Drosophila melanogaster: one gene and its partner. The protein of the gene in region 1 interacts with the protein of each later gene in a pairwise test. Each region holds a gene or a part of one and is shown on either strand. Other genes may lie near its edges.

Region 1 (8,667 bases):
TAGTTGATTTTCATAAAATCACTCAGTATTCATTCCCCTTTAGAAGTTTTTCATTCGTCTTATTGGGCCTAATAAAAACTTCCTCTGCGCCCACGATCTGCAAAAAGTTCAGTGAACTGATCGAGAAGCTGGAGAGGAAACCAATAATAATATACAACCTCTAATGATGCTCACTCGCATACACAATCTAAATGCGCTGGCAATAAAATATGAAAAACCGAAGAACAAAAAATGCGTAAAGGAGAAAAAATGATTTTTAACAAAGGCGAAGGCAGACAAATAAAAGTGCAATTAATCACCAGAAACCGAGGGGCCCAGACATTCAGAACTGAGACCCCTGGACCACGACGACTGACACTTATCGGCTTTATCTGCTTATGGCGGGGAGCGGAGGAGGTGGAGTAAGTCGAGGTGCATCCACACAAACATATAAATATAAATGGAAGGAATTATAAATATTAAAGAAGCTGGTGAATCGCTGGCCGAGGATGCAGCCCATCAATATTTGACTTTTACACGTGGAAAAGTGAATACCTGTATCGAAATGAACGTGGATATATTTTCATGTGTGCTAAACAATGGAGTTATAATTTCAAAACATAATGCTCATTGGCTAGGCAGAATTTCATACTCATATTTTGTATATATCGAAATTACAAAGGTTTGCACATTTTTTTCGGGTGTATCTGTGGCGTTGCCTTGCTGCGATTGCCGCGAAGCAACGAAAAATGCATCAGTTTTTAATAATAAATGAAATGTGTGAATAAACGTTGGGAAATATATGACGGTGATGGGGAAATGAGGAGAACAATCGAAAAGGCAAACAGCGGGAAAGCATAAACACGGCCGGCAACACTAATACCCAGGCAAACAAACAAAGATGCAGATACAGATGCCGCGGCGGATTCAGATTCAGATGCAGATGCAGATGCAGATGCATTTTCCAAAGAATTTCTAAGCACATAAAAAGCAAAGCAAACGGTCAGTTGGGAAAATATTTAAAAAAGCATAAAAACAAAATATTTATTGAAAAGAGACGCTAACGAGCCAACGCCGCGGCGATCAGAGGCAAACAGACCGACAGACCGACAGACAGACGGCTTCAAAAATTGAGCACATGAGCAGGCTAATGCACATGCACATGTGTGCATAGCTGGCTATTTGATTAATGCACTCGAAAGCGACAATAAACACGGAACACGGAACATGGAACATGGCCAAGAACCGGCCAGAAAAGGAGTCGCACTGGGATCTCTTCTGCGCCCAGACAAACAAATATCGCATTCCGATTGATCCCGGACCGGGCAACTCCTCATCGAATGCATGTGACTCTGAATGGTGAATGGAGCTCCATCGCCAGAGATCTGGGCTCTTGAGTGAACGTCGTCGACGTCTATTGGATAAATAAATACAAATTTTTATTAAAGTGCGAATTCTGCGGTGAGCTCGGTGCTAATGCAGTCGCAGTCCAAATCGAACCGGTCGCTAAGCTAAGCTGACAAAAACTACCAGCTTACTTTAATAGTCGTAAATATTCAGATACAATGTTTGGAGTGAACTTATTGAAATATAATTATGAAGCAAAGCCGCATTAGGACTATAGATATCTTCATATGTATATTGCAAGCGCATCTTAAGATCAATATTTAATATTTTTTTTTTAATTTTCAATATCAGCATTTCAAAATTTAAAATATATTTTTATGCAATCATAATGATTCAATCTCAGAAAGAGAAAAATACATAAAAAATCCAAATAATGAATCTATCGATTTTAGCCCCAGATATTTTCTGTGCAGACCCATTCCGTCGTTGCCCTAATTGAAGCACACTTAGGGAACCACAACAAGTCACAAAATGCTCCATAGATCGAAATCAACCGCAGGCCACAGGAATTTCAATCACCTCTTGGTCACCGAAGCGTTCCGGTGCCTGCTCCCCGAGAACCCAAGAATCGGTGGATCTGACCTGAGAAGGGGTACTAAATACTATGTGGAGCAAATCTCTGCGGGAAGAAAGAGCGGCCGAGGAGAGCAAACAATGGAACGTGGAACGTGGAGCACGTGAATGCTGTCAATCATTCCGGGCAATGGCCACTCTGGCGGTGGGGTGGGGAGTTCCACAGAGCGCTGCGACCGTAGCTCCGCATTCCGCGCTGTGACGTCACGACACGAGGCGAAATGCCGCCGGCAGAATTCGCAGCCGAAGATTGAAGATCGCCGAAAGGCGCGCGAATCGTGAATCAAAACAAACCGAGGCAAAAGATCGGATAATGAATGGGAGAGAGATATAGACGGAAGCAGCGCTGCGACAGCGCAGTGACAGCGCTGCAGCAGCAGAAGAGAGCTCCACCGCGCGCTTCTCTCTCTCTCTCTCTCTGCCTCTCTTTTTGTAGAATTGGAATTGCAGAATTGAAGAGTCTTCTCTTAACTGGCATATGTACTAACTTAGAAAACGATTCACAACATATGAATAATTGAAAACAAAAGTACGAAAGTTATCTTTAAGGAAGATGAAATACAAAGATAAACGTGAAATTTAAGTTGCTTAGATTCACTCACCCTTTCTTCCTCTCGGATCATCTCGGCGATCCCTGGCTTGATCTCCAAGTCATCGGCGAGCGAGGATCCCCCGCCTGAACCCACTCCGCCTGCACCTCCTCCTCCAACTCCCCCGCCGCCCACTCCACCACCGCCATGGTGGTGCGGCGGTGGAGGCGGAAGGCGTGGCTCGGCGGACGGACCTGGTCCCAGGCCACTCAGTTCCCTGGCAGCGGCCATGGCGGCTGCTGGGCCGAGGGGAAAACGGGAATCTCCAGCAGGCGATGCCGGGTGGTGGGCTGATCCGGCGGTCTGGGAGGGATGTGGGGCGGGTGATGCGTGATGGTGCGGATGCAGGGGCAGGGGCAAAGGAAGCTGACCCTGCTGCTGTGCCTGCTGCTGCTGGGGGCTCTGCGAGTGAGGTCTCGACGATCGGGACAGAGGTCCTGGCGTGGCAGCCGGCGATGGCATGTCCAGGGCGTGGATGGCGGTCTCCAGGCGCCTCGTGGCTCCCACTGTGGAGCCACTGCTCATTGGTGGTTTGGGTGGGGGTGTCATCAGCGAACAGTCCCTCTGTCTCTCTCTTTCCTTTTGCTCCAGCTCCATCCTTTCGGCCGCAATCAGGCTGCTCAGTGGACTGGGTGGTGCGGGTGGATTGAATATTGTGTCCGCCGATGGCCACCGGCGCTTTCTTACATTCCTGCCCTGCTGCCGCTCCAGTGGGGAGAGCCTCAGCTCAGCGGGATCCCAGTCCGAAGTGCGTAGCTTCTTCTCGGGCTGCATGAAGGCCAGCAGCTCCTCGGCCTCCCGTTCCCTGTCGTGTTCAGTTCTGGAAGTTGAAGTGCTCTCCTTGGGCGAGGAGGGCATTCTCTCCGACGAAGCGGCAGCCGCTGCTGCCGTGGCCGCCTCCATATGGGTCACATCCGCCAGACCACGCACTTTCAACATCTCAGCTATCCTGAGCAGAGGACCTATCTGGTCCTGGCTCACGTTGATCTCGCCGCGATACATGAACTCCACAATGGCCTTGAGATCCGACCAATTTACGTCCCGCATGATCACAATGGGATGCTGGCAGGGCGTTTCGGCCAGAAGTGTTTGGAAGTAGGGCGAGCAGGCGGACAGGACCATCTTGTGGGCCTTCATGGACCGACCATCGCATGCCAAGGTCACGTCCACGAAGCACTCGTTCTGGAGCAGCTGGTCAAAGATGGTGGTCAGGTTCGTCTGATAGTTGTTCCAGCGCAGGCAGAATTGCTGGGAGCTGGAACTGGGCGAGGCTACCGAAGAACTCCTGCCCTGTGGCGAACTGACGGGCGAAGATCCTCCCCCTCCGGCTACAGCATGACCTTGACTCTCCTTGTCCTCGTCCTTGGCCCCGCCAGTTGGTGAAGTGCGATCCTCGCTTTTGATACGCTTCTCCTCCTGCTGAGTGGGCGAGCTTCTGTTACTCTTGGGCGAATCGGCGCCCGATCCCGTCCCTTTGCGCTGCCTCTGAGCCACTGGTCCCTGTTCGGACGCCAAGCCGACATTCGTCTCCGCCTGCGCCGACGCCATTTTGTCTGCAGCTGATCGTTGATCGTTGATCGTTGGATCACCGGCGATCGTAAACGTTACGCGATCGTTATTCGTTACGCGATTCGCTCTTCACATAGCGTTTAAGGAATAAGCATTCAAAAGAATCCGCGACAATTACGACGCTCAACTGAGAGTGGGCATGTACATGTGCGTATCTGTGTGCGTGCCTCTGTCTCTCTGTGTGTGTGTGTGTGTGTGTGTGTGTCTGGGCGTGTGTGTATGGGTGTTTAACGTATTCGTTACGTTACGCGCACTACGTGGCCATTTGGCAATTAGCCCGCCGCCTCGTTCTTTCAGTTCGATTCGGTTCTCGTCGTCGTGTCCAGTGTTATTCAGTGTGTGCTTTCAGTTCCGTTTCTGTTTCTGTTTCGGTTTCAGTGTTCTATGGCTGTATTGGCCAACAAACAGGGCCAAAAGTCTTCTCAGCACGAGCGTCTGAATTAGACTGAAATCGTTTTGCACATTTTGATACGGAAAAACTCAAAACAAACTTAACACACGACGACGACGATGGCCCACGACGACGTGGATGTGGATGTGGATGTGCGGCTGTGGCTGTGGCTGTGGCAGTGCCTGTGCCTGTGCCTGTGGAAAGCTGAGGGGCAACGTTGATGTTGCAGCAACGGCAACGGCAACAGCAGAAGCGGCAGCAACAGCAACATCAGCAGCAACTGCTACTGCTACTGCTTTGTAGTTGTTGCTCTCAGGCTGCGACTGAGTTCGCGACGAAGTTGCGAATAGTTCGCGAACTGCTCTGCCGGCGCTGCGAAAGGAAAATGCGACGTAGGCAGCGCCGCTTGGCTGAGAACCGACGGCAGAGACAACGACCGAAGCAGCGGCGAGCCCGTTGAAAATGGCTGAAAACGGCGAGCTGTAGGCGCCAAAAAACGCCGGCTAACGGCACCGCATTCCTTTGCTCCTGCGCTGCGTTTTGGCTCTCCTCGAGCTCAACATCGGAATCGGCTTCGCTCGTCCTTCGTCCTTCGTCCTTCGTCGGCCTGCTCGACGCACTCGAACTCGTCCTCGTCCTCGTTCTCGGCCTCTCGCCGTTGCAACCCCCAAAATTTTGGCGCTTTGCCGCCGCACAACTACCGTTGCGTAAAAAGGATGCGTCGCTGCAAGTGGCAAGTGGCAAGTGTGCGTGCGTGAGGAAACGGAAGTTGCCCCGAAAATGCAGCGGAGAGCGACGGCGATTGCGATTGCGATTGCGATTGTGAGTGCGAGTGCGAGTGCGGATTCGAGCTTAGGCCTAATATTTTTCGGAGGTGCTTGGCAGGAGAGGGTGTGGACGAGCCCCATCGACCAGTACCCCTGGCACAAAATAGAGGAACACATCTAGGTGGTCTTCAGGAATTGGGAATGCGGCGAAAATAGTGCTGAGTTTGCCGATTATTTAGGTGATGGATATTATATATCTTATTAGGGTTCTTTTAAAAGCTTAAATTTAAGTGAAAAAATTGAAAAAATTGAAAATTATTAAATAAAATATTTTAATTATTTTTAGAATATTGGAAATCGATATTCATATGTATGAATTGCTTGTAACATTTGTAGTATGAGCATTTTGCGAGAAGTGCAGATTAGTGATCATTAGGTCTTTCGAAGCACATTCCTCTCTCTTTCTATTCTTCCCAAGCCATTACTCTTTCTCCCTCACGCATTCCACCTCATCCGACTGAGAAACAAAACTCGGCTGAAAGATGCTTCATTAATTAGTTCCGTTCGAGGTGTACCCCACACAGCCCCCCCTTCGAAAAACCATCACGAAAAACTCTCTTCGCAGTCGACGTCGCTGCCAGTCGTGCATTGTAAACAAATGCTTAGGCGAAATCAAGATGTGCGGCGAATTGGCTCTCTCTCTTTCGCGAGAGAGTTGGCTGGCGCTTTTCGCCTAAGAGACGTTTCTCTTTCTTTCAGCTGCACCTGCAGTTTTCCACTAGTTTTTCTCGCTCTCTTCATGAGTAGTGGTGATGGGCATTTGGGGGGGTGCCGAGTGGCCGAAGGGGCGGAGGGCGGGGCACTATCGTTTCAGACTGGTCAGCCTCGGTTTTTTGCCTCTGTGTGGGTGATTCCGTGTATGTGTTTATGATTATTTTTGTTATTGCCTTGCGCATTTATAATATGCGAAACATAAAATAAAAAAAAAACACAAATCTAGCAAAAATAATAAATTCTTGCAAGTGCGAGCGGGACGAAGCTACATATCAAGGTGAGTGAGCGAGAGGTGGCGAGAGGGGTCCACTACAGCCAGTCATAAATTATGCATAATTTTTTCGTGACTGGCAAATGGCGGCTGCTTTTCATTTTGGTTACATTATAATAAACATCGGCCATGAATCGAATCGCGAATCGCGATAAAGGGGCACAAATACGCGATCGGCAGGTATCCATCGATCGGATTATATTCAGTATTCATCTGGCATCTCTGAATGAGTCTTTTAATGCCTTCATTCACTCGTATCCGGTGATTTAATGACGCTAAGTGATACTTTTGCCTACTCTAATGGCCAGCCCTTGAAATAGTTTTGGACTTTGTATCTCTACTATTTAATGAGTGTGTGTGCTATTAATTCATAAGTTATTCGGGCTTTTTAGGCTTTTGAGTATTTTGAATGAATTCAGGTAACTGAATATGGTTTTTATGTATTGGATAAATTAATAATAAAACTGATTGTTTTTCTATTATACTATATATATTATATATACTATATGTGGTAATGCTTGCACCACTTAGGACCCTTTGCAGATAGTTCTGCTTATTTTCCCCCTAAAAACCATATGCAATTAGATAACACTGTGTTTATAGCAACCAATGAATTGCAGCCAACAGAATTTGGATCAAACGCAGCAACACGAAAATGCATCACGCATTCTCTAAGTTGTTTGCTGTTGTGTTGCCCGCTATAAAGTGGAAAAGAGGGAAGGGGGCGGGCGCTGGGAAATGGAAAATTGGGAAATGGCTGCTAGGCTCGCGACTGCAGAACGCGTTTATACGAAAATTTATGTATTTAACTGGTGACGACGACGCTGACGAGCAAAACGATGACGCGGACGTGAAAGGACATCGGAGCTGTGGAGATGTGGACGCCGGTTCGTGGGATGGAATCCACTGGATGCTGATGTCCAAAAAAGCGACGAAAGCCTCTGCGAAAGGCCAAAAATGGGTGGGCCGGTGGCTCTGTGGGGTGGAGTGTGTGTGCGGGGAAAGATGACAACATTTGAGCCAAACAGACAAAGTTGCGGAGGGGGTGAGAGGTCGCCGTCTGACCCACACACATGAGTGAACGAACAAGCAAACAAACAAATAAAACGGTTGCCATGAGTGTGAATGCACTGGCAGAAAACCTAGGCTTCTGGTTGTCAAAATGTATAAGCTTACAATGCAGTAACTGACTTAGTTGATCTCAGCTGCGCGGTAATGCAATTTAAAGTCTTAGTATTAATTGTTAAGAAAAGAGTGAGCATTTATGAAATTATTTCAAAAAAGGAAGGCCCTTTTAATAGTACAATAAATTCGACATTTTTAATGTAGCCAAAGAAGTGATGTGGTACGAGATCTCGCTGCTTTTTGTTCTCAGTGAGAAATGCTGCGACCATGGAGGTGACCAAACGTACACATAAGGGGTAAAATGGGTACTGGGGAGGGGAAAGAGTATGGGGATGGGGCATCGCCGGCGGGGAGATCAGCGGGAAAAAATGTTGCATATTAAAACGCCAAATAGAAGAGTGCAACAGCAACAGGAACAGCGACAACGGCGACGTTGCAGCTTAGAGAATGCAGAAAATGGGTGGCACAAGGGTTAGCCCTTTGCTGATTCTTCGTCCTCAGCTGCTGCTTCGCTGCTTTCCTGCTCCTGCCGCTGGTTTTACCTTCGACCATGTCTGAAAGTTGGCTTACACACAAAAGCGATGAGCGATGATGCCTCAAATATGCAAAAATGCCTAGCGCAATAAAACCCCCTTGAGGGCGTATGGGCAATGAAAAAGGGCTTAAAAAGGGAGTCACCATGCAAGGTTTGGGGTGTGAGGGTTTTAGAGTCGGTGGATTGGCGGCAGGAGTGGACGTGGAAGTCCGAGCTGCTGACCATCGGGGTTGCAACGAAACTTGGAACTTGGAAATGCAGGCGAGCTCCGAGAGTCGCGTTTCGTTGCGTTGCGTTGCGTTGCTAACGATGCCGCTGGCTGTCTGATTGGGAAACGAATCGAGGAGGGGGCTCTGGATGCCATGCCCCAGAATGGGGCAGATGGGGCACATGGGGCTGACGGCCACGATTGAGCAGTCGGGGATCAGGTAGAGGGGTGCATGCCACAGACACAAACAGATAGACAGCCGGCCGAGAACGAGAACGAGAACGAGAACGAGACGGAGGACGCGCACGAGGATTTGCCAAAGGATGAGCACGAGGACGAGGACTAGTCCTACGCCTGATCTAGGAATAGATGCAGAGCAAAAAATGCTAACATAGAAAATAATCACAACTAATTCAAAATCACAAGCTCCATAACTCCACACATACTTTAAATAAGCATACCATCTAGCCATCTATTT
Region 2 (4,257 bases), on another chromosome or scaffold:
GTAAATCCCCTCTAGCCTAGCGTAGTCTAGCCTGTTCAGTCTCAGCGGCAGCTTCGGGCGATGTTGGCCGGCAGGCGCTAACTGGCCTTGGAATGCCGTCCGCTGGGCCACTGCGTCATAGTCATATTCGATTTGTTTAGGTTTTTGCAGTGCTGGAATTAAACCAAAGCATAATTACGCATAGAAATACATTGAGAGCTCATACAATTCATCCATTAAAGTACGCCTAAGTTTGTGTCTTAAGTCTTTTGTTTAGAGATTTGTATTATTGCGCGCGATGCGATCACTTTCAAAAGATCTTCAAACTAGACCATACGCTCAAAATCACTTAGACCATAAGTTGCATGTAAATAGTGTTAAATTCGGAGCAGCCGCAGCGACCGCAAACCTAGTTTAAGTTGTAGCACGTAGTTAGTTGCCTAAGCGAACGCATAAGTCATTAGTACCATGAACGCGAACATAAACATGAGAATCCAACTTTCAACATAGTCAAATAAGTTTATGTTTAAAAGCTAAGAAGTCAAACATACAATAAATGAAGTAACAAAATACAAATTCAAACTGGTTCTGTTTATTTGCTTGTGGGGGTTTTCTTATATAGATATTATAATATTTATGCTATGGTTCCAAATCACTTTCGTTGGACTCCTCGCATTCGTTGTAGTTCAAATTAGGATTTTTGCGACCCCTGCTCCCATTTAATTGGTAACTCTGGGAACAAGTGTGCTGCTCCAGAAGATATTTGCTCGTAAAGGACATCGAGCAGTGGACACACCGGTTGTGACTCAAAATGTGCTTGGTAAGAAGTTTTTTATTTTGATAGGACTTTTTGCACTGTGTACAGTTGTGCCTCTCGATAACAGTCTTTACTTTCTTGTGAGTGGCGTGGTGCATTTGATAATTGTCTTCTATGCTAAATTTTTTCGGGCATTTGGGACAAGGGAATATTTGTCCAGGAGACTTACTCCGGAGAAATTGTACGCAAACCTGCGAACTGATGTGTTCTTTAAGACCGTTTCTTTTTTGAAAAGTTTGCTGGCACTTTATGCACTTGAACGGACCTTTCGTCGTGTGACTTTTCTTGAAGTGAAAATCTAGATAATTCTGACTTTCGAAAAACTTGGAACACTTGTGGCACTTGAAACGAGTGTGAGCACAATCGTGACTCTTTAGGTTACTTTCTTCTTGAAAGGACATCAGGCAGAGGGGACATTTGAACGTTCGTTCCCCCGCGTGGATTTTTACGTGGTCTTTAAGGCTGGACACGTCTGAGAATACATCTGCACACTGCGCGCACTTGTGCGATGACTTCCGAGACAGTCTCTGAGAGACATCCTCATGTGTCTGAATGTGAATTTCAAGAAAGCTGGAGTAAAGGAACAGTTTTGGACAGTGAGGGCACCTGTACGGAGGCTCCAACTCTGATTCTCTTTCATCAGAGGCCCTATGAATCCACATATGGGCTTCAAGACATCCGCGTTTCATATATATACTTGGACACATGGGACATTTCAGCCGTGGAGGCTCGGTGGTACGCGTTTCATTATGAGTCCGAATGTGAGCTTGAAGTTTGGCGGCGAGTAAGAATATCTTTGGGCACTGAGGGCATCTGTGAGGTGGCTTCCCAGTAACTTCATAATCAACTGGCTTGTTTTTTACTGGAATTGAATCTATGTCAATGATCTCCTCTTTAGGTTGTCGGTACATCTGGATAGTATTTTCTTTAGACTCTAAATCATCGAATGCATTTTTCACAACATCCAGACAAGTTACACAGATATATTCAGAAAATGAATCGCCTTTCTCAACTGGCATTCCTGTGTACTGAGAGAGTATCGTGGCAATCGGAATTCCGTACTGATGCGCGTCATCAAATATATTGGTTAAGTTGTCAGACTGTTCCAAGCAAACGCGACAGCTTCCGATTGCTGGCTCTTCCAGACATTCTGTTATTATAAAGTATTCTCCCTGCAAGTCCTCCCCTTCAATAGCCTCCTCCTTAATTACGGGGAGCTCCTCCTCAGCGACGGAATCCTGTATGATGATCACGTCGTTATTTGCGGGATGATCCTCAAGAATTACCTCCTCAGCGAAGGAATCCTGTATGAGGATCACGTCGTTATTTGCGCGATGATTCTCATGAACCTCTACGTCTACTATGTTGCTCGCTCCTATGATCTCCTCATTATGTATGTGGTTTTCCTCGATAACCTTCTTCTTAATTAGAGCGTCCTCCTCCTTAACTACCAGTTGCACTTCTGGATATAAAGGATGCTCCGGCAGGCCGTCTTCGCCGTTTATGGACATTTCTAAGTGAACCTTGTCGTTAATTTGGGTTTCGGGCCTTGGTCCCTTATGCTTGGTGCCAAATGTGTCCATATGCAGGCACTGCAGGCAAAGGGTTTTCGGAAGCGAGCCACCGCGTTTGACCGACAAGCCCGGTCGTACCTTGCAGCACTGACACACGTTCTCCATCGCCCTGGAATCATTTAATCGTATAAAACGTTGGTTAAAATGATTTTTGTGGCTTACCTAGTCGTTTGTTTACAATTTTCAGGGCTATCAACAACGGGCAACCCTGTTTTCAGCGTATTGTTATCGAGCGCTTATCGATATCAAACGCTGTAATCGACTGTTATAACTAAAATATACCCTTTACGAAACAAATTTTACAAATTCATGTATGTACGTATTTACTTTATCTTTGCAATAAATACCAGGTGCTTTCCATAGCAAACAAAAACAAACGTTTTCCATTTTGTTTAACAGAAGCCAGACATTTAATAAAAAATATTTAAAATAGGCGGATGGATTGCGAATAATACAAAATCGAATGTTCCATAGCTGTCTTAAAACATACCAACCATATAAACCGGATAGACCTAATAAATTAAGCAACTAATCATTAACCGATATTGTCAAACTAAAGCTAACTTAGTGGAATGATTTCTCAAGATGTAGCCGTATATTAACTAGGGGAAGCGCTTTTTCAGTAGGTTTTCCAGCTTTCTGATGCCCGTCTGGGAACTTCCATCGGCATTTTTATCTGCGCTTCCCGTAAAGCTGCCCACGCTGAAGATAAAGGCTCGTTTGGGGGTTGAGGAAGTTGCCGTTGTTGTTTCAGTTGGTACTGCTGAGGTTTCAGCATCGTCTGTGGTCCCCGAAGTTGCGACTACTGTTTCTGCACCTTGGGTCTCCTCCTCTCCAGTAGTTGGCTCTATTAAGCCACTCACAGCCGCTGCAGATGCCGTGTGCTTGAAAAGATCAATCAGTTGCAGTTGATCCACACGTTTGACCGCCTTCATATCCAGAATCTTTTGGTACTCCGCAATGGTAATGTCTGGCAGCAGCTTAAGCACTTGCTGAGTGAAGTGCGCCGGCGGCTGTACCGGCGTCATCACCACCTTGATGATCATCTCGGCCCGAGTCATGTCCTTGACCACAACTTTGGTGTAACTGGTGGGCGCCTTGCGGTTCACACTCGATCCCACGGAAGGTAGCTCTAATAAAGCCGTCTTTAGCGAATGGGTGTCCAACAAGAGTTGCTCGCAGCCCAGAACATTGTTGGAACCATCCGAGAGGGTTAGTTTGCAGCGATAGAGCACATTGATGAACTTCGGTATGAAGGCGGCGACGAAGCGATGGCAGAACTGGGTGAAATACTTCCGCGAACTGGCTAGCGTGTCCCTGATGGTAGGCACTGTCTGCTTAAAGTTACCGCACAGGCTGCTGATGAAGGCGCTCTGGTCGCCCACGTTGTTAATGTGTTGCCACTGCACCTTGGCCATCGCCTGCAGCGAAGCTTCGCAGCCAGCCTCTAGATCTTGGACCAAAAGTTGGATGCAGTTGGAAATGATTCTAGAAAAGTTACAAATATTAATAAACTATTTGATTATTTGATAGCAAAAATTTTTACTCACCTATGAAAGACATCCTTTTCCTCGCTCATGTCAATCTTGCTGACATATGCAGAAGTCACCTTTTCCTTCAGTTTATCCTCCAGCTGTTGGACCGTCTCCAAACAGTACTCACCCGTGGTCAGAACGCAACAAATGCGCACCAGATCATCTCTTGCAAATCGCTGCGTATCGCCCTCTTTGAGGAAATTGTGAAACACCTGACCAGCGGCCGTTGATAGATTCTGCATATCGCGCGTGAGTAACGAAACACTTTTACCGATCGAGCTGCTAGTGGTGGCTGGCACAAGCTTGGGTGTGCTGCCCTCGAGCACTTTGGAGGCGTACTCCCGTAGATATT

The links.
Region 2: the proteins of bab1 (region 1) and CG17612 interact in a two-hybrid assay, tested with the Drosophila melanogaster proteins (one large-scale study listed by BioGRID).

The regions. Positions count from the first base shown.
Region 1 is NT_037436.4:1,096,540-1,105,206, forward strand, and holds the start of bab1 (bric a brac 1), read right to left. Parts: upstream 4,551-8,667; 5' UTR 4,098-4,550; coding exon 2,562-4,097; intron 1-2,561. UniProt on the Drosophila melanogaster protein: Probably acts as a transcriptional regulator. Required for the specification of the tarsal segment. Also involved in antenna development.
Region 2 is NT_033779.5:4,380,165-4,384,421, forward strand, and holds CG17612 (uncharacterized protein), read right to left. Parts: upstream 2,572-4,257; 5' UTR 2,533-2,571; intron 2,498-2,532; exon of another isoform or gene 2,480-2,497; 5' UTR 2,476-2,479; coding exon 619-2,475; 3' UTR 558-618; downstream 1-557. Other genes in the region: Vps53 (vacuolar protein sorting 53), read right to left, coding at 2,973-3,858, 3,921-4,257.